4 linked regions of the Arabidopsis thaliana genome follow. The protein of the gene in region 3 interacts with the protein of the main gene of each other region in a biochemical or structural test. Each region holds a gene or a part of one and is shown on either strand. Other genes may lie near its edges.

What was found.
Region 1: the proteins of BES1 (region 3) and HAT1 form a complex in vitro, tested with the Arabidopsis thaliana proteins (one study listed by BioGRID).
Region 2: the proteins of BES1 (region 3) and IWS1 form a complex in vitro, tested with the Arabidopsis thaliana proteins (one study listed by BioGRID).
Region 4: the proteins of BES1 (region 3) and BIM1 form a complex in vitro, tested with the Arabidopsis thaliana proteins (one study listed by BioGRID).

What each region holds. Positions count from the first base shown.
Region 1 is NC_003075.7:9,737,665-9,741,757, reverse strand, and holds HAT1 (Homeobox-leucine zipper protein 4 (HB-4) / HD-ZIP protein), read right to left. Parts: upstream 2,241-4,093; 5' UTR 1,897-2,240; coding exon 1,749-1,896; intron 1,662-1,748; coding exon 1,333-1,661; intron 1,248-1,332; coding exon 1,168-1,247; intron 1,067-1,167; coding exon 775-1,066; 3' UTR 524-774; downstream 1-523. UniProt on the Arabidopsis thaliana protein: Probable transcription factor.
Region 2 is NC_003070.9:11,558,224-11,563,581, forward strand, and holds IWS1 (Transcription elongation factor (TFIIS) family protein), read right to left. Parts: upstream 3,677-5,358; 5' UTR 3,564-3,676; coding exon 3,544-3,563; intron 3,312-3,543; coding exon 2,855-3,311; intron 2,769-2,854; coding exon 2,649-2,768; intron 2,566-2,648; coding exon 2,345-2,565; intron 2,264-2,344; coding exon 2,134-2,263; intron 2,049-2,133; coding exon 1,986-2,048; intron 1,899-1,985; coding exon 1,821-1,898; intron 1,744-1,820; coding exon 1,652-1,743; intron 1,560-1,651; coding exon 1,503-1,559; intron 1,414-1,502; coding exon 1,242-1,413; intron 1,022-1,241; coding exon 923-1,021; 3' UTR 532-922; downstream 1-531. Other genes in the region: AT1G32127 (plant viral-response family protein), read left to right, coding at 1-385; AT1G32140 (F-box family protein), read right to left, coding at 4,519-5,103. UniProt on the Arabidopsis thaliana protein: Transcription factor involved in RNA polymerase II (RNAPII) transcription regulation. Involved in transcription elongation. May function at post-recruitment and elongation steps of transcription.
Region 3 is NC_003070.9:6,686,815-6,690,961, reverse strand, and holds BES1 (Brassinosteroid signaling positive regulator (BZR1) family protein), read right to left. Parts: upstream 2,428-4,147; 5' UTR 2,283-2,427; coding exon 2,224-2,282; exon of another isoform or gene 2,129-2,223; coding exon 1,858-2,128; intron 1,541-1,857; coding exon 797-1,540; 3' UTR 551-796; downstream 1-550. Other genes in the region: RRA3 (Nucleotide-diphospho-sugar transferase family protein), read left to right, coding at 1-290. UniProt on the Arabidopsis thaliana protein: Positive regulator of brassinosteroid (BR) signaling. Transcription factor that activates target gene expression by binding specifically to the DNA sequence 5'-CANNTG-3'(E box) through its N-terminal domain.
Region 4 is NC_003076.8:2,605,486-2,612,194, forward strand, and holds BIM1 (basic helix-loop-helix (bHLH) DNA-binding superfamily protein), read right to left. Parts: upstream 4,766-6,709; 5' UTR 4,610-4,765; exon of another isoform or gene 4,430-4,609; 5' UTR 4,087-4,429; coding exon 4,050-4,086; intron 3,919-4,049; coding exon 3,817-3,918; intron 3,401-3,816; coding exon 2,999-3,400; intron 2,898-2,998; coding exon 2,795-2,897; intron 2,711-2,794; coding exon 2,574-2,710; intron 2,489-2,573; coding exon 2,374-2,488; intron 2,277-2,373; coding exon 2,207-2,276; intron 2,110-2,206; coding exon 2,014-2,109; intron 1,903-2,013; coding exon 1,565-1,902; intron 1,464-1,564; coding exon 1,352-1,463; intron 1,260-1,351; coding exon 1,170-1,259; 3' UTR 533-1,169; downstream 1-532. UniProt on the Arabidopsis thaliana protein: Positive brassinosteroid-signaling protein. Transcription factor that bind specifically to the DNA sequence 5'-CANNTG-3'(E box). Can bind individually to the promoter as a homodimer or synergistically as a heterodimer with BZR2/BES1.

The sequences.
Region 1 (4,093 bases), on a different chromosome or scaffold from region 3:
TGTGTGAGAAGAAATTGCTTTCAGTACTTTCACTTTCACCAAGTACTGACAAAATGGGGTCAGTTGCTGGTGTGATCAAATATGCATGTGTTTCTCACTTTCTCTGGTGAAATAGACGACGACAACCACCACCATAATTTGGGCCGGTAAATTCGGCCCATTAATTGCACACTGTTAAGAGTTATTACCCAGTAAGATTGTAGCATTCTAAAAAATCAAGATTCTCGCTCGCTTACTACAATTCCTGGGTCCCTTTAGGATTTGTCTAGGTAGGAAGAAATATCAAACCGTCTAAATTTCAATAACCTGACGGTTCAACTTTTGTTTATGAAAAAAACTATTAGAGTATTTAGATGATTAGAGATATCATTTTTATGTAAAAGAAAAAAGAAGGGTATGAAAAAGATCTCGAAAAATTTGAAAATAGAAAAACTTATGCTTTTCTCATGAGGCACTTAACCTGGTCGCATATACAAAGATCATGTCAACGTAAAATGAAGATGGCTTCATGATTATGTCAAGAATGTATAATGGTTATTGGTTAAGAAGAGCTGGGTTTATCAAAAAAAAATAAAAGAAAAACTGTTCTTTTTTATCCTGTTTTTTTTTTTATTATTATAAATTTGTTTGTTATCAAGAAGACAAGAATAACTAATTTAATTAGATTAAAGTAAATTTAAAAGTAGAAAAAGGCTTTTAAGGATACATTAGCTGAGAGTCAATAATCTAAAAAGTACAATGACCCACACACAACCCATAGAAGCAGCATTAAAGTTAAGACCTAGGACGCATCACATCAAAGGTTGACCCATGGGCCATTTGGAGCCATGGACTCAATGAGACAGATCGCTGGTTGTGGTTAGATGAGGATGGTCCGGCCACACGTTCACACGATGGACACATCAAAAGTGTGGTCGGTGGACTCATCTGACCATACAACCGCGGTGAAAGCTTTAATGCTCTTAGTTCCGCTGCCTCTTTCTCGAGCCGCCGATTCTCTTCCGTTAATTTCTCAACACATCTTTTCAAATACTCGCAATCCACTTCGGTCTGCTTTAACTTTGTCCTATTAGGCACAAAAATGGGTTGTATTGTAAATAACATTGCTCTTTAGGGGCAAAATGGTCAACTAATATGTAAAAATAATGAGCACTCTAGTTCTCTCACCTTGCTCTTCTGTTTTGGAACCACACTTCCACTTGTCTTGCTGTTAAACCTAGCTTCTTAGCCAAAGCCAGCTTCTGTTTCTGTAGTTTTACAATAAAGCCCTTGTTAAAAACAGAGTATTTACAATAATACTTTCACGCTCCGAGAGATGGATGAATGACTAACGGGATTGAGAGTATTGTGCTCTTTGAAAGTGTCTTCGAGAACTGCGGATTGATCTTTGGATAGTCTAAGCTTCTTCCTACAAGTCTCACCTCCGTAATCTTCCTCTTCATCGGAGGTTCCACGTGAGGAAGATCTATCTAGAGTGATGTCAAGGTCATCTCCGCAACCACCACCGGAGGTACCTTCTCTTTCAGTACTCCTCCTCTTTCCACTCACTGTGCTCGAGATCGTACTGTTTGGAGACGAAACTCCTGTCTCCTCTTCCAAATCCACCGTTGTTGGCAAGCTGTTCACGTCGATTTTCCTAAGAAACTGTTGCTTTTGTTGATCTGAAAAATGAAAAAGGGTTATTTCAGGATCTGTGTTGTTTCCTTGTGGAAAAAGGTTATCAAGACTTTGTTGAAGAAGAAGCTTACCTGAGGAAGAAACAAGGGTTTGGTTCCATGGAAACATCTGGAGATTGGACATTGGTGAAGAAGTGGGTTTAAGATTTAGCTGGAGAGGATGGTTTTGTGCAAATCCCAAGCTAAGACTTAAACCCAAATCCTCTTTACCCATCATCATGATATTGTCTCTTGGTAGAAAATGAGAATAGCAAAAGCTTTGATCTTTATGAGTAGAGATGACTAGAAAAACCTTGATCTAAAGCTGATTTTACCTCAAAAGATTTATCAGTTGTGCTAAGTGTATGGAGGACAAGAGAAACCTTCTTCTAGGGTTCTTATAGAGAGAGAGAGATGTGAAATGGGAAATGAAAAGAGAAAGAGAGGATTAATATAGGAAGTGAATGATATGAGATGTTGTCAGGTTGGCCAATTATAATCTATTAATGCCCTTTTGAAACTCAATTATTATATCCCCAACTTGTTCCCTCTTTGTCTTCTCCTTTCTCTTTTTTTTTTTTCTTTATCTTTTCCTTCTTCTTCTTTTACTATTTTAGTAAATTGTATAGTAAGTCCTATCTTTTGCTATCTTTTTCCATAACCTCAAAGTACTTCTATATATGTATGGAATCCAAAGTAAATTTAAAATGCAAATTCATATTTTCCATCTCTACTTTATTTCTTGCAAATTTGGACTAGGAAAAGAGAAACTCTATAATATGCGGTGCAAATCCATTATGACATTTATTTAGCGACAATAAGTACATCAAATTATATGCCTAATCAACTAAATAATGATTCTAAGTTTTAATTATATACCTTCACATATATATGAAGTGACTCATGTTATGTCTTGCATATATTAGATATAAGCAGCCTTAGCTTCTGATTTAATAGTATCCGAGGAATTTTATTATTGCGCCAATTTGATATCATTTCGAGATATATAGACATTAGTTCTTTATTAAAAAAAAAATTAATAGAATTATTATTAAGAGTTGTAACTTGCTAATCTTTTTGACCATGTCAAAAAAAAAAAATAAAGATGTTATTGGATGAGCTTACTAGAGTGAATTTTATTTAGTATTTACGGTAAGTTGAATAATTGCCAATCTAATAGTTATGCTACAAAATATTTACTCTACTGTAAAGAAATAAACGTGAACATCTTTAGTTTTTTACTCCACCTAAAAGTGGTAGTAAATATTTCAGTTCATTTTCTCTTTTCATTTTTATTTAACCCTCAAATTTTTCCAATCATTGGTGCAAGAACTTGTGACCTTTGTAAAGAAAAAAAAAACAACTCAATCAGTCAAGATCACACACGGATGAGAACAGATATCGAAGAAATAGTTGGCAATTAATTGTTGAAATAATGAAGAAAAAAAAAGGACTAAATCAAGTGGTTGGTACAAAACACAATCCACATGAATCTGAGCTCATTCAAAGTTGTGGGCCAGTCACCTGTTGTGATCCAATCATATCCATGTGGGATGTGGGATCTATCATTACACTAACACCCATATGTATTACATATGAATCCAATATTCACTGACTGTTTCTCTATTTTCATTTCATGTTCTTAAACTTTCAACTATTATAGATCATCATACTTCCCTTATCATCAATTTTGTAGAATTTTTAAGTATTCAGATCGTGTTCTATAATCAGATATATTCTGAGTGCTGCTAATCAGAATCATTTTGCTTTATTGTTGACAAAAAAAAAAAAGAAGAAGTAAATTAAAACTGCCGAAAGATGATTAAAAAATGTCTCAAATAGTTTTGGGCTCAAGAGAGAACATGGGCAGGTGGGTCATGTCACGTGACAACAAGGGACCCGAAAACACTCGACCCGGCCGTGCGTTTTATTTTGTTTCCTCACGCGCCGACATCTTATCATTGCCTACCACGCGCCTTCATCATTTTCGCTTCGTTGTAATCATTATACGCATGATTTCAAATGAAATAACTCCTTCTCATTAATGATCTAACTGTACTCGAAATTAAAAATAGTTAAACATAGTACATTCGAATTATATGCCGTATATAATGAACTAATAATTCATCTTTCTAGTAAGTATTTTTTTTTTCAAACTAGTAGTGTATTATGCGTTCTAAACGAAAACATGAAATATCTATTTAGAAGCTCTATTTGAAAATGTTAATGGATTTGAATACTCACGACAAAACGAACCAAAAAATTGTTATTGAATATATATATTTCTACTTCGTTTTTTGATTAGAAGAAATTCGAGACCCAAAAGCTCGTAGATCCCCCTTAGGTTGAGACGAGAAATTCAAGACCCCTATTAGCTTATATATATTTAGTCTATACTTGTATATAATAGCAGTGATTAAGGGTTCGGTATAGTCCCG
Region 2 (5,358 bases), 4.9 Mb from region 3:
TCTTCTCTTCTTCTTCCACTCCACAAGCCACAAAGGTCTTGAAGGTTATTACCATCTCCTCCTCGTCTTTCTCATCGGTCTCTGCGTCATCTCCTCAATCGCTGGAGCAATCTGCCCTACAAGCTTCCCAGTAGATCTATGCAATGGCATTGCAATGACTCTTCAAGGCCTCTGGTTTTATCAGACAGCTTTCACTCTGTATGGCCCTATGATGCCTCAAGGCTGCAGTTTAAAACAAAACTCTGTAGTTTGCAGATCAGTTGATTCAGAAGTCTCAGGAGAGTTTCTGGCTAATTTTCAGCTCTTTTCATTGGTTCTTGCTGTTCTTGTTTGCGTTGTGGGTTCATATGTTTTTGCAGCTTCAAGATTTGGAGTAAGTAGATGAGAGATTTAGTAAGTAGAAATTAGGATTTTGTTTTCCTCTTCTTCTTTGTTTCTGAATTTCAGAAAGAAATAAAGTAATAGTCTTTTTTTCTTCATCTGCATTTGGAGGCGTTTCCGTTTCAAGCAACCAAAACTTGTGAAACACACATAAAAGTAGTCTTTGTGTCTGCAAATAACGAGCCAATTTTGAGTTATTTAGTGTCATTGCTTTATTTTCTAACAAACAATATAGCAGAAAGATGAATCTCAAAGAAAGAGGACAAAGTGTTTATTGAAAACTCACTGAAAATTGATTATCATAATATTTTATGCTCTGAAGAAAGAAGTGACGAACAAAGTGTTTTCACTTCCCATTACATTAGAGGCTCAAAGCAAAGCATATATAGAAGAGTACATATACGTATAACCCCAATGCCTTTAAGTCTTCGACTTCACCTGAAAGACCTTTAAACACTGATCCAAGCAAAGTTGGAAGATTAACACGATAGAAGGAACCAATTTCAATGTGGATGGATGGTATGGTCTGGTTGTAACCTCTCTAGAGGTACTTGATCATACCCCGACCTTCAACGCTCACTTTCGTAGCTTGTAGCCGCTTCTTCTTTGTTCCTTTTAGCTGCTGAAGTTTCTTGTTCATCTGCAGTTATAACACAAAAGAACCAGCTCAAGGACTATTAGAGAAAAGAAAGAGCAACAAAGGGTTTTTGTTTATATACTGTCACAAAAAGGTCTCAGATTTTGAGCCAGTACAAGGCTTTCTTGAAAAGGATTTCACTTGTATTTACCATACCAAATCAGTACTTAGATGGTGTTTTGTTTGTCAGTGAAAAAAAGATAAACGGTAGAAGTCTTTTTACCTTGACCCGACGCTGGTCCTGAGAAACCTGTTTTGCACGGGCTATGATCTCATCTGGATCAATCTTGGATTGAGGACGGATCAAAAAGTCCAATGGGGTTGCTTCCGGCCTCATCGTCATTTGCCTGTCTCCCCTTGAACTCTGACCCGAAGTCAGACCAGTTTTACGTTCCCTGCATATTTTTCAACAAACAATGAGTAATGTTAAAACATAACTTTTAGAAGTTCATATATCTACAAATTTGGAAGATTTTTTCCATACCGAATTTCCAAGTCAAAGTCACCATCTCTGGACTCCATTGTCGCTTTGTTGCTAGGTCTATCCCCAGTAGAACAAGAAGAGAAGCTATGAATCAGTATATGAAATGTGAAAGCGAGTAAAATAAAAAAAATAAAGGTTTCGGGAAATACTTCTTCACTGGTGGTCTTCTATAGGGAACCCTATCTTCATCGAGATTTCTCATGTCCTCAAACCTAGTACTCTTGTTGAAAATTGGACGAGACTGCATCATCAAGTATACAGTAAGTAACTGGCTGGAATTTGATTCGAGGGATTGGAGCTCTTGAAAAAGATGATTACCCATTTATCAACCAAATCCTTAGCAAGTCGTCTGTTGGAATTAGTTTCCTCGTCGGACTTTGATAAGAACATAATGACCTGCCAAAGCCAGAACAAATTTAAGTTCCTGAGTATAAATCCTACATACCGATTCTTGTCAATTTGAATCAGGTAATGTATCCTAACCTTTCCAAGCCCACTCTTTTTCAATTGCTCCCTTCTATCATACTGGTCCAAGTCAATCGGAAACTGCAAGACAGACTCAGTAATTGGTAAAGCAGCTAAAAAGGCTCAAAATCACGGAAAAACCCTCAACAGGAAAACAAGAGCATACATCAGTAAGAACTCTTAGAATAGCTGCACGGATGTTTATATTTGGCAAGCTTCCATCTGGAAGAGGCTCAAGCCAATTCTTCAACAGGGTTAAAACTCCATGGTCCAGGAATTCTGTTTGAAGCTGCTTCCTGGATAACGAAAAATAAACGTATTACAAAACAGATTGTTAGAAAGAAACAGTATAAGATAACAGTAAGTTAGCAACTTACTTTCCAAGTACATCGGTAAGAAGCGAAAGTTTCTTAAGCTTGTTGATAGCAGGCTTCCCCTGTCTATTAAGTTCTGCATCTTCCTCAGCAGTAACCTCAAGCTCAGCCATCACATTCTCAACCAAAAGCGCAATTTCCGCAGGATTTCTTTCAGTCTTTTTCTTTTTCTTCCCCATTTTGAAAAGGTTATTTACCTCATCTTCATCCTCACCCTCTTCTGCCTGTTTATTCATAACAAAAGCATTTTGTATCAACAAACAAAAGCTAGACTCAAAGATCAAAATTGAAGATACACTACTCATACCTGAGGATAATGAGTTGGAGAACGGTCTCCAGCGTCACCTCCATACCTCTCAGAAGGATCCAAACCAGTATCGTCAATGAAATTATCATCATCCATAGTCCTAACACCTTCTTCATCATTCTACAACAGAAACGAAACACTTTTATAAGTCGAAAAAACAAAATTCTCTCTCAGGCAATCTTATAACTATAGTCAATCTACTGCACCTCTGGGTTATGAGCAATAGATTTCCACATCTCATCAATCTCTTCTGACTTCCTTTCGCCACGATTCGGAAACTTATGCCTCTTCTCCTTCCCACTACCACTACTACTTCTCTCTTTCTCCTTCTTCCTCTTCCTACCAACCTTATCATCATAATCAGTACTACCACCACCTCTTCCTCCCATAAACTCATCAAACTCAGCATCATCCACATCCTCATCAATCAATTCCGGAACATCAATAGTCACACGTTCACTAGAAGATTTCTTCACCAATCTCTTCCTTGGTTTAGCTACTTTATCATTATCATAAACAGGCGTTTGTGATCCTTCACCATCCCAATCTCCAATATCATCAGCCAGATCTTCATCAAAATCCTGAAGTGGCTCTGTAGATGGCTCGCGATCATTCCCAAAATCATCAAAGTCCACTATTGGCTCTCCATCTACATCACGGTACCTGGAAAAAAAAAATACAAAATCTTATGAATCTGAAACACAAAGGATTCAAATCAATAGGAGATTGAATCTGCCCATGAATCAAAACACTCTCTTTTCACAAAAACGAAATCGAAATTTGGGAAATTGAAAAGAGATCGATTTTGGTAACCCTAGATTCAATCAAAGGTGGGATTTTTATCTGCACAACGAAGCTAAAAATATGAAATCGAAGAGAAAGGATTAGAATTTACGGATCATCCTCGAAACCCATTTCTTCTCAGCTTCCAGAAAATGATTCGAAAGAGATAATTTACGAATTCTTTGATCTTCGAGTTGTTGTGAGAGGCGAAGAGGAGGGAAGGGAAGGGAAGGAAGAATTTGGGATCGGGCTACTATGGAATATTCGACGGTCACGATTGAAGAATTATTTTAACAGTTTAGATCTCGCCACGTCATCAATTCTCTGAGTAACAGCAATTAATTAGTATTGACTATTGACTTCGTGTTAACAAAGTCAACTGTCTCTAGTCAAAAGAGACAAAACATTAGATCAATTACTTGTGAGAGGAGTTGTGAGTTGTGACTAACTTTTACTTGTCGTTTGAACCGACTACAAATAAATATTGATGGTTTGGGGATGTTTATAATCTATACATCAAAAATGGTTAAATCGATATCAAACTTTGAATGGCATATATGCTTTCTAAAGCATAAGAGGGCTTGGTGCCTAAGATTGATGTTAACGAATTTGAATTCAAGTATGAATCTTGATTGCATTAGCTTAACGTCTTAAATTGGTGCATTACAACATATATTTGAGGATGTTGCTCTGTATACATGGACCGAGGATTTATAAAAAAAAAAACATTTTGAATCCCGCATATTTTGTCTCTCTATTGACTCATTCATCTACATTATACAAGTGTTCAAAGTCCTCGTACTCGTCATGATTCTAACATATCTAGGAACCTTCCGTCATATAATTATCTTGAACGGTTTAAGCCCCTATTCGAGAAACAGTCATGGTCGTTGTCTCTATACCAAGTGTTGGAACTAATTAATACATAGCATTGTGGAAAGCAAAATCCAGGTTCCTATATTAAGAGAACTAAACAGAAACAAAATAAAGATCGAATATTGACTAGTTTTGTTTAGAGAACATTGCAAAAGAAAAGAAGAAAAAAAAATCAAAATGAAATGCAAGAAAGATATAAGCATTGCTAGTGTTACACCTTGTTGCTTAGTTTCATCTGCTTGTCTTTACTTTTGCGCTTCGTCTTCTTCTCTTTCCTTTTGCGTCCTGCATTGTGGTTGATTTTCACCAAACTTGGAACATAATAAGAGCAAGAGCACACAAGCGGCGAAAAACAATACACGCGTTCTCCGACCTCCACAGATTCTTGGGAGTTTGCAGCTTTTTCAAGATCCACTGTTCTCAAATATCTATTATCTCCAATGACGTAAGCCGTAGAGGTTTTAACTTTGTCTGAACTAAAAAACACGACAACTTTCTTCTCTTCGTCAATGAAAAAACTGTCATTACGATCATCAAAGCGAAGATCAATGCATGGTTTCCTATCAACTCTTAAGAATTTGCTCCACGACTCGACATTAGGATCAATCTTAATTGTCATCCATATCTCTATCATCACACATGTATTTTTCCAGTATAACACTGCGACTGCAAGTTTCTCTTCTTTAACAGAAGATAGAGTCCAAGTATCCCTAAAAGAATGTTTAAACGGCAGAGGAAGAATCTGTCCAAATCTCTCGGTTGTAAAATCAAAACACAGTATAAAATCATATCCATCCTATAAATTTTTATCACCATGGGAAAGAGTAACTATTGTTTTTTTATCTACAAGAACTCTTAACATATCCAAGCGCCTGTAACGATGCGTTTTTGAGACATTTATCTTTGGTGGGGGAGGGGATAGAAGAAGTTAGTTCAAGTGGAGAAGAACTTTCTCGTACGAGTAGTTTTTTATCACATGGTTCTGACTCAGAAACAAAATAATAATCGACTAATCTTGTTCAAAGGACATTACAAAACCAAAAAAAAAAAA
Region 3 (4,147 bases):
CTAAAGTGTGGGACCAAGCGGTTTTCAACGAGGAACTGTTTTATCCTTCACATCCTGAGTACACTGCGCTACATGCATCCAAGAGAGTCATGGATATGTATGAGTTTATGAACAGTAAGGTCCTTTTCAAGACTGTAAGAAAGAATCATGAACTGAAGAAGAAAGTGAAACCAGTGATTGTTCATGTGAATTACCATCCAGATAAGCTCAATAGAATGCAAGCCGTCGTTGAGTTCTACGTTAACGGTAAGCAAGACGCGCTTGATAGCTTCCCCGATGGTTCTGAATGATTCACCTGAAAAGCAGATAGGCTAAAAAAAACTTTCCGAGTTTCTTGACATTTGTGATTCTAATATATTTCTCCCTTTTCCAATGTTTACTGCTTCATGCCTTCTACTTTCCTCTTTGTATTATGAATTTTTGTGTATCTTATGGCTAAAATCGCAAGTCTTTTTTTTCTTTCTTAACCTCTCTGATCTTGTTATTACATCCCAAGTCTTTGTTTTAGCCTCACTTGTTTTTCTCTGTTTCATCATCCGATATATAATTTACATTTCAAGCCACTTAATCATGTAATATATTTGTAATGTTTTCAAGACCTAAAAGGAATGATAATAGAAACATACATCTTAAACATTCTATCTACAAATAATGCGTTGTGAAACAAACTCACTGGTACAATGAATATCGATTCTAGAACAAGAACCAAAACCATGAACTGAATGAACAACACACTAATTCTCATTCTCCAATCCTTCCTTCCGACATGACATAACAGGTTCATGTATACTTCATCTCAACTATGAGCTTTACCATTTCCAAGCGTGAGCTCTAGATCCTCCATAGCCACATCATGGATCCTCTCCCCTTCCCATGGCTTAACTTGGCTGTTCTCAAACTTAAACTCGGAGCTTTGACCAATCTCTTGGATTGCTGCTGTGTTTGGAGACAATTGCTGTGGTGCAGGTTTCACGAGATTGAAGGTAGGCGAGGTTGGCACCATAGAGGCAGAGAATGGCTGTTGTTGTGCAAACTTTTGAAAGCTTATCCAATGACCAGAATCAACAGTGGAAGAGTCAGACTCATCACATTCAGGTATAGTAGCCGGAGCATGGAACTGGCGATGATGAGTAGGACTGGCAGGTGCAGACACCGCATAAAACGGGTAGTTCAAAGAAGTCATTGACTGTTTAGCAGCCATGGACATGGATTGTTTGGTAAAAGATTCCCAAGTAGGCAATGGTTTGGGGTTTCTAGAAGTTGGGGATGACACTGGTGGAGTGACAGGAGCACTGTTTGAGATTCTAAGTGGAGGAAGCGATGAAGGAATACCACCATTCCTGAGGAAAGGGAAGATTGTGGAGATATTGTGTGGATCACCAACTCGAGAAGGACTCGGGAATGAAGAAGAGGAAGGACTGACTTGGTAAGATAAGATGGGGCTATCAAAAGTGGAAGAAAGAGGACTTTGGTTATGGGAAGAGTAAGGAGTTGCTCGAGAAGATGATCCAGCCATGTCACCAGGTAGAGGCTTGTGTCCCTGTTGCTCATAGAACAATACCAAAAACATCACAATGTCACAATCAATCAAAAGCTAAAGGAGAGATCTAAATATAGTAACCAAGTGAAAGTAAAGCTAATTCGGTTCTCAAATTAGTAAGAAGAACCCTAAAGGTCACTTTCTCCGCAAGGAATCTCGATCCAATTTTAGAATAAAACTGAGCTTCCTCAGCTAAAAACCTCGAATTCATAGCCAAGAAAATCCCAATTTGACCAATTTCAAATCCAAATCTTCAGATTCAACAGCTAAATCATCAGATAACATCAGATCTAAGTAAAAATGCGTTTGATACTGACCTTGCGATAAGTAGTTCCGTCTTCTTCAACAACCCAACCAGCTTCAGAACAAAGAGCCTTAAGAACCTCATTGTTGTCACAATGTTTTGGAAGATTGTAGTTACCTTGAGCTCTAAGACCAGTATAAATCTTCGCCGCAACAGCTCTTCTCCGCCGCTCTCTTCTCCGATTGTTCTCCCTCTCTCTCCACGACGGTTTCCTCCTCGTCGCCATCGCTGCTGCTGCAGCTGCAGCTGACGTCGACGTTGCTCCGTCAGACGTCATCTTCTTCCTTCAACTCTCAAAACAATCCAACCACGGTTAAAAATGGAAATGGGTATTTGGATTCAGCTGAAGAAGAAGAATGAGTGAGAAGTTAGTGCTCACGAGGAATACGCTTTTTTTTTTCTTTCTTCTTCGCTGGAATTATAGAAGAATCTTTTCATTCATTATTTAAAATAAAAAAGCAAAAAGAATTCACCGTTGATTTGAGTTAAACCAGCCACGTGTCGATGATGAATGGTGAGGATAGGTGGTGGTGTACGTAACTTACAGTGTGGTTTCGCGTTTTGAAGAAGAAGTACGTTTTATGTTGTGTTTCTCTAAATCTGTGTAAGAAAAGGAGCTGATTTTATAAAGAGGAGAAAAAGATAGAGAGACATGTGGGGCCATTGTAATGAAGTGGGTCCTACACGAGTATGACCGGAAAACACACCATCTGATTGGTTTATGAGGGGATCGGCCATGTTAAATAAGAAAACAAATTGTTTTGAGCCTCATAACATTTAATGATTAGATTAATTTGTCACTATAGTATATGGATAAAAATAAAATAGTGTTTCACTATAGTATGAATAGAAGAAAATGAGTGCTTACTTTTGTCCTGACTGTTTATGTATCATGTGTTTATTCTTTAATTTTATCACATTACAAAATTATTTAGTAGATTATTTGTGAAAACGAATATACGTAAAATGGAGTGATACATGGTTTAGATTAAAAGTTAACTAAATAAACCCTTTATGAAATAGTATGGTTTTTTAGCCTTTACTTTCTATCGTATACGAGGCAACAAACTATAAAGACTCAATACATATGAGGGGAGACACTACGTACAACTAGTAAAATACCAAACCGACGGATTATATAGATTTCCAAAGAGAACTCGAGTGGAGAAGCATGGACGTGTTTGGATGTATAATTGGTATATTCAATTGTACTTTCGTAATACTTATCAACATTTTGAACTAGAAGCTCCGATCTTAGTGACAACTTGCGTTTGATAACACATGCTGATATAGTGATTCACTACTACATTTGAGATGGATTGTGTATATCAACATGACGGATGGTCAAGTTTCCGAACCAAGTTGTCTGAAAGCGAAGTTTAAGTCCTAAATTAAGTATTTGACAGTGTAGTTTGTTCATTCTATACTCGTGATATGCATTTTGTTGCGATGGTTTTGGTTTATTATTTCTTCCACTTGATGTTTTTCTTGAATAGTGGATGGAAATCGTGATTTCACAAAACTGTGTGATTGATAAAACAAAACATTCTACATCATTCTACTACTTCAAAATTTACTAAAGAGAGTCGAAAATGGAAATGTGAGGATATTCACACAACATTATTAAGTCAAACTGGAAAGCTCTATATTTGGAAATATCGTTAATTTTGTTTTGTGATTTGTAAGCATATTGTTTGATTGCTATAACAATCAGAGCCTATAATTCGGAATTATTGTTGGGACCTGCTCTTCATTGGTCATGATGATTTTCTTTAATTCTCATGTTTTTTTTTTTTTGACAATTGTATAGTTCATTGAACACAAAAGGAAAACTGGATAGTGGATTTGCCCCACAAATAGACCCATCAAAGCAGATATGATCTTCCAACGAGTAGTCACTTATTGAATTTATATTTAACACGCTTTTGCCTTTATTTTATTCATATTTTGTTGAAAAAGAAAAAGAAATCTAGTGAATAGCAGAATAGTGATACTAATATAGTATGTAATCTTACTGTACTGATAATATATTTAAATTTTATCTGAAACATCATCTGTTTATGAAAGGAAAAGGAAAAAGCTTACTAAATTGATGGTACAGTTCTGAGACAAAATAATCTTTAGTAACACTATACTTTTTTCAGGCTTACTCTAGTGTTGTCTTCTTCAAACGATGTCGTTTGCGATGAACCGAACCTTCCACTTCTTTCCAAGGGTTCTCTCCTAACTGTCCCCAGCTTGAGAATGAGTCATAGAGAAAAACGATCATGAGGGCCCAAGCCAGCCTTTTTCTTGGTTACACC
Region 4 (6,709 bases), on a different chromosome or scaffold from region 3:
TTTTTATTTAATAAAAATATAGGTCCGCGGTATACTGCAGATTAATATCTAGTATAATAAACAACATTCCAAACTAAAAAAATACTACAATCACGACCAAAGTTTGCTCTAATTCCAGTCAAAGTTTCAAACCCTAACTGTAAAAGCTCTAGTTCGAGAAAGATCATAATTGATAAAGACAACGACGGCGACGAAACTCCACGGTAAAAGATGCTACCACCGCGTCTCTGAAGAAGAAACTCCTGAGTTTTGGAGGCGACGACGAGGAGGGAGAAGACGAAGCTTCCCGTGTCAAATCCTCTTCGTGTCCGAGGAAATACAGGCGGTTTGTTGTTTATGGATATAAATTATGGTTAAAAGAACGTAATTGATGTTTGTTGTTTTATCCCATTATATATGGGATCTCGTTTACTTCAATAGTTTGGAAAATCAAGTATTGAAGTTGAATATATAGAAGATATGATTTTCATCATTTTAAATAAAAGTAATTAAATGCTAGTTGATATATTTTTCAATGGCATATCTTATAATACCCCACATAACATTTGATTATTTTGCTAACAACATTGCATAAATAATAGTACAAGATAGCTCTTGTTGCTAAAGTACACTTGATTTAATCTTTTTGCCGTGCTCCAGACTTTGTCCTAGAGAGTTGGGTCATACAGGCTTTTGATTGGCATTATAATTAAGTGTGTTTCTCTTTTTCTTTTTCAAAATCGTTCATGCGCTTTGGTTTAGTCAAATACATAAAAGATATCTAGTATTACATTGAAAACCATAGAACAAAGTAAGAGGAAGAAACAAATATAAAAAGTGTGAGATGATCAAGTATATAAGAGAGTGAAAAATGTTTTCACTTAACACTGGACGCTTCCAGAAAACTTTGAAAGCCTTCCTTAACGATATATTCCTCAAAAGAGTATGTTCTAAAATGCGGTTAGCATAACCGGGTCGCCCTAGTCTTCTTAGGTCTCATACGATTATGGACCCACGAGATATATATAACAGGATTTCGGATGTACAAAAGAAAAAAATCAAAGATATAACTATAATAATAAATTATAATCCCTTTTTGAGATAAAATGATTTAAAGAAAAAAACAGAGGAATCAATTTTGGTGTTTAACTTTTACCGGATTGTGTGTTTGGGTTTTGTTTTTATAACTTCTACTGTCCCGTCTTGAGCCGTTTTGGTTTCCGAGTTTGCTTGACATTGTCGTTTCTGGTTCGAGAAACCGGTTCACGAACTTCATGATCCTATCGAGATGTGAACAAAACTATAAACTATCAAGATCCAACTCATGAAAATGTGTTTGAATTGAATCAAACGTAAGTAAAGAAAAAGATACCTTGAAGGAAGAAGACGAGGATTGTTTAGCGAGCTCGATTTCAACGGAGATGCTTGCTTTCGTTAAGTCCACTCCTGAATTCTCCAATGCTTCTCTCAGTGTTTTCACTAATCTGCTCCACACACAAAAGTAAATGTATAAAAGGTTAATAATTTTTTACTTTTACTTAACTGTTGCAAGATCAAAATTCAAAAGAGAGTTTTTTAGTTTTACCCTTGTGAGTAAACACTTGAAATTCTGATGTTACCCTCAAGAACTTCCTCATCTTCTTCTTCTTTTTGACTCCGGGAACTCGGACTTGGCTCTACAGCCTCTGATGATGCGACTCTTGCGTGGAACTGGGGTACGGGATTACCCGCAATCACAGGAGAGAAAAAACTGTTGCTTTGAATCGACAATGGAAATGGAGAGGTCGTCGCGGTTGTTGGATGATCAATAACAACACCTTGTGCAGTTGCAAGGACCGAAACCGGAATGTTGTTTTTCTCTTCTTCCAATTTTGGAGCAAAAGCAACTCCTTCAGGTACTAGCTGTTGGTTGTTGTTACTCTGCTATAATGTAAATGGATCACACGGGTTAACATTACATGGTTTGTTTGTTTTCAGTTTCCAACCCGGGGAATAAAAATGAAGTATGGTCGGAAAATGTGAGATTATATTTACCCAATTCAATAGCTTCGCAGGTTCGTGATTCCATCCTTGGTAAGAGGTCACATACTTGTCTGCTTTCTCTTGTAAGAATTGAATATACTCGATAACCTGTATGAAGTTGTCAAAAAAAAAAATTGGAGATTAGGAGCAGATGTGATTGAATCTTACTGTCACAAAATTTTCGGCCAAAAGAGTATAGTTATACCTCTAGTAAGAAGGAGGCCTTATCCCGCTTTTGGTCGCTGTTAGGTATTAGTTGTCTCAACATCTGAAATCTGCAGAGGGATCCATTAACAATGTTTGATTAGTATCTCCACTCTGCTAAGCTATATAACCAATTCTGGTGGCTTTTGCTACATATTCAGGACTTACCTATCATTGATCTTGCTCCTTCTCCGTTGCTCTGTAGCAGAATGTTTAGACCTAGGTGTGTTCAGCTTTTGATCGTTAGGAGAGCCTCTCACATCTGCTTTTACCCTCAAATCCACTGTAAAGAAGCAATCAATCAGATCCTAAGCTGTTACTGTTTAGACTTTAGATATCATATAGGTGGAATCTCGGACAATACAAACCTCTATGGCTCTGGCTAGTCGAGGAGCTTTCTTTCTTCATGATAAAATCTTCTTCATCATCTAAATCATCTTCCTGTGAACTTCCTTTTGCTGACCTTATCATGTCCATGAAGCTCTGGCTCTTAAGCACAGACCCTCTGCAACCAAAGTAAAACTTTAGTTGATCACTCTTTAAAGTCCATAGACCGAGTTATATAAAAAAGAGAAGATATGAGACTAACTGAGAGGAAGAGAGAGAACTGAAACCGCTCATATGGTTGTTTGTCAAAGACTGGGACCGTCTCTCCGCCACTGGCCATTGTCCCACAGTTGCTGCAACATCAGCTACACATTCAAAAAAACTTATATTTCATCATTCCATTGATTTCTAAATACTACTTTAAAACTAGTCTAAATAAACATCACGATTCAAGTTTTCTTGTTACCTCTCATGTTTACTCTCTCCCCAACACTATTCTCCTTCCTTGTCTGTCCCTTCTTCCCAGAAGCAGATTCATCCCACAGAGTGAACCCGCTTGATGCAGCGGCGTACGAGCTGCAATTAGAGTTAGAATTCTCATCCAAAACGTTTCTCTCATTAGCATTGAACATCATTGGTGGTGACAACTCCGGCTTAGGAATTCTCTGATGATGATGATGGAAGTAAGGAATGGGGCTAATCGTATAAGTCCCTATACCACCGGGAAGCACGTGCTGCAACGGTGGAGGTGGAGCAGGGGGCGGTGGCTTCTCGGACGCTGTAGTGGTAGAGTTAATCCTACTTACGTCTTCTTTAGCACCAACACATTCTAACGGTTGAAGAAAATCATGGGTTTTCAAGTGACTACCTGCTTCACGTACCATCAAAATTAAAAACATAAACTATATGTTAGAGAAGTAAATCCCTAGATAATACACATTTTCTTATACATCAAGTTGTATGCATTTAAACGCTTATAGTAATTAACAACATTTTGTTATTTATGTGATGCAATTCTAGGGATCAACATCATGAGGGTTGAAAGATATTTATTTAATCGAAGGCAAGGTTTAACGACATGTGTAGACGAAAAAGAAAGAAAAAAACGGTCCCAAAATTCCATGGGCTTTAAACACAGATGGGCCCATTAGGACCCAACAAAATAGCAACATTTTGATCCATGATTCGTCTTAAAGTCAGATCAGATGCACGCGCGAAAAAAACGTGACCCCTTTTAAGAGAATCTTAAAGAAGAAAAAAGGGTAAAATGGTAAAAAAAAATACCTTGAGAAGAAGGTGGTGGTGTTGGCTTTGGATCTGGGTGGACGGTTGAATGACTGCAGAGCGATAAAAAATCATGTGTTGGTTTTCTCCCTGTGCGAAATTCTTCTTAATATATATATCAAAATTCAAAAAAATACATAAATTTAAAATTATGAATCTTGTAGAAACTAAACACTCTGTTTTAAAATAAAATAAAGGAATTGGTAACAATAATATCTGATAATGGTGTTTACCTTGGGTTTTGAAGGGACGAGGTTGAGGAAGCTCCATGAACGACAGAGCTTCGACGGTTTTTGAATTCTTTTTAAATTATTCTATTACTAATCTGTGCGCGGGAATTATCGCAAAAATTGGCTAGCAGCTCAGATCTGCGACTTGTAGCAGCTGATTCAAGAGATATTGTGGTTTTCGATGGTTGAAGAAGCGGAATTGAGCTCTGAAGTTGCTGAATTATGCTTTCTCTGTATCTTTTTACCGATAAAAATCCTCGAATTTGGTCAAATTCTGCTCGATTTAACCTAAATCAGCCTCCGCCGCAACTTTTCTCAGCGAATTCCACAGAATTCAAACGGGAGAATCGGCAGAAGTCACCAAATTCGTGGAATCGATAGATCTGTCATCAGAATTGGGTAGAAATTCAAGAGAATAACCATAATTCAGCGGAATTCATAGCTCAAACCAACTCAATTTCGCATAATTCAAGTCAACCAATGAACATGGAGATACAAAAACTAGAATCCAAGTCAAATCTCTAAAGAACACGAATGGATTAGATTTGAGCTAAGAAGCGTACCTTCTTCGACAGCAAATTACGTGAAGCTTTTGGCGTGTCAAGGTACTGTTGAAATTACGCCGACTACTATCATGCGTCGAAGTAAATGCAATCAAAAGGAAATCAGTTAACTAATTAAAATGGTAAGATATGTATGATTAATTAAGAATCTCATGTATCTGATATTCAAGTCATCGTACATTCTTCTATAGCCTAATACCACCAAACCTAAATGAACAGTGCGAAAAGGAAAAATAAAATAAAGAAGATTTTGTGTCTCCGTTTAGAAAATCATGCTTATAAAAACCTCCATGTAAATAATGTAATCAGACCACTGTATTACGTGGTCTATGTTCGTGTGTACTGAATGCGCATAACTAGACGACTTGTTTAATTGGTAAATTGGAAGGTAATTGGTAAGTTTGACAAAGATACGTACTACTAATTGATAGCTAGGCTTGGCTGCAAACAATTACCAATTTAATAGTAAATTTAGTAGTAGAAATTCTGCTATAGATGATGGAATATAGGGGGACAAGTATGATTTTGTTCGTACGTGTATGCGTCTATGTATTTGTGTGAGTGGAGATATATGTAATGTATGTGACATTAGGTGGAACAAAGACAGCTCTTCCGCCTTTAACAAATTGTCTAAAACCCATAGTTAAGAACCTGATCATGTGAGCTAAGCGCATTTTTATATTTAGTTGAATGCCACTTGTTACAAAATCACTAACTTATAAGTAAACCAAATAGACGACTTACAAATTACAGTACTTATTTTAAAAGTCTTGTTAGCATTTACTAAACTAACATATGTCTAGTACTGTATATAATTTGAATTATATATTCGAAAAAAGTCATCTCTTAAAACCAAAAATAAAATGATAAAATATCTTTAGTCCATTTGTATTCAAGCGAAAATAGTTATGGCTTTCAAGTTTTTGCAAGTACGTATATACTTGATTAAATTACTTAAGATTTTCAGTAGTTAAGAATTAAATTTACTTACGAGTAATATTTATTGCCCTCCCCTAATGCTTACAATCTAGTTAGTTTCTGAGTACTACATCTTTCCAGTAGTCATGAGTTTAATCTGAAGATAGAAATAATAAATTGAAAACAGAGATGGAGATGATAGTGAGAAAGGAACTATAGCTAAATAGTGTTGGATCACATGAAGTGAAAAATTGTACAAAATAGGGAAAGAGCAAAAACAATTACACATCCCCACATGCCTTCCACTTTGTCTCGTGAGTTGTTAGGTTGTGCTTAAACACGCTTTATTCTCTGTATTTTATATTAACCCCATGAATTGTATTATATTGATTTAAAATCACTCGCAATCTCGTGGTTCTTTGATGAAATGTATTATTGTTATTCGAGATTCGGTTTCTCTAGAGCACAAGTAATTGGTTAGATACATTAAAATCAAAAACAAAAAAGCAAATGGAATTGTTAAGATTTTTACACGTTTAGATGAGAAGAAAGAAAGAAATCAAGGAAAGTAAATAAAAACGAAATGGTCAATTCAAGTGAAAGGCGAATAAGAGGTTAGTGTGACGTCGTTTTCATGATGTAGTGGGACCACGTGAACTGACTCTGCAACTCACGTGAGAGAAACACTGTAGAAACATAAATAGATTTTCGAAAACATTAACATCAAGGGCAATTTAGTAACAATACTTCTTGACTAGAAACTTGGAAGGCTAAGGGTTTTAGTCGATCGAAGAAAGAAGGTTTCCATTCAGTCTCATAAACTGTTTATTGATATGCCACAAACCGACCTATCCTTAACCATTCGTGGTTCGGTTGGGCACATCATGTTCTTCCCGTCTTACGTAATTCAATCAATAAATAATCATTCAACTTGAGTTAGTTAACAAAATAAGAAGAAGCATATCAAGTAGGTTTCAACTTCAAAAGATTAAGATCAAAATAACTTATATAATACAAAACATATTTTCTTTAATTTCCTACGCATATTATAAAACATATCCATGGAATTAATTAGAATAATGTATAGGAGAAAATCATTCGCGGAGTCACAAGATTTCTTAAACATATTTTTACATATTTAATCCAATTTGAAGTAAATCAATGCGAGATCTCATCACAACT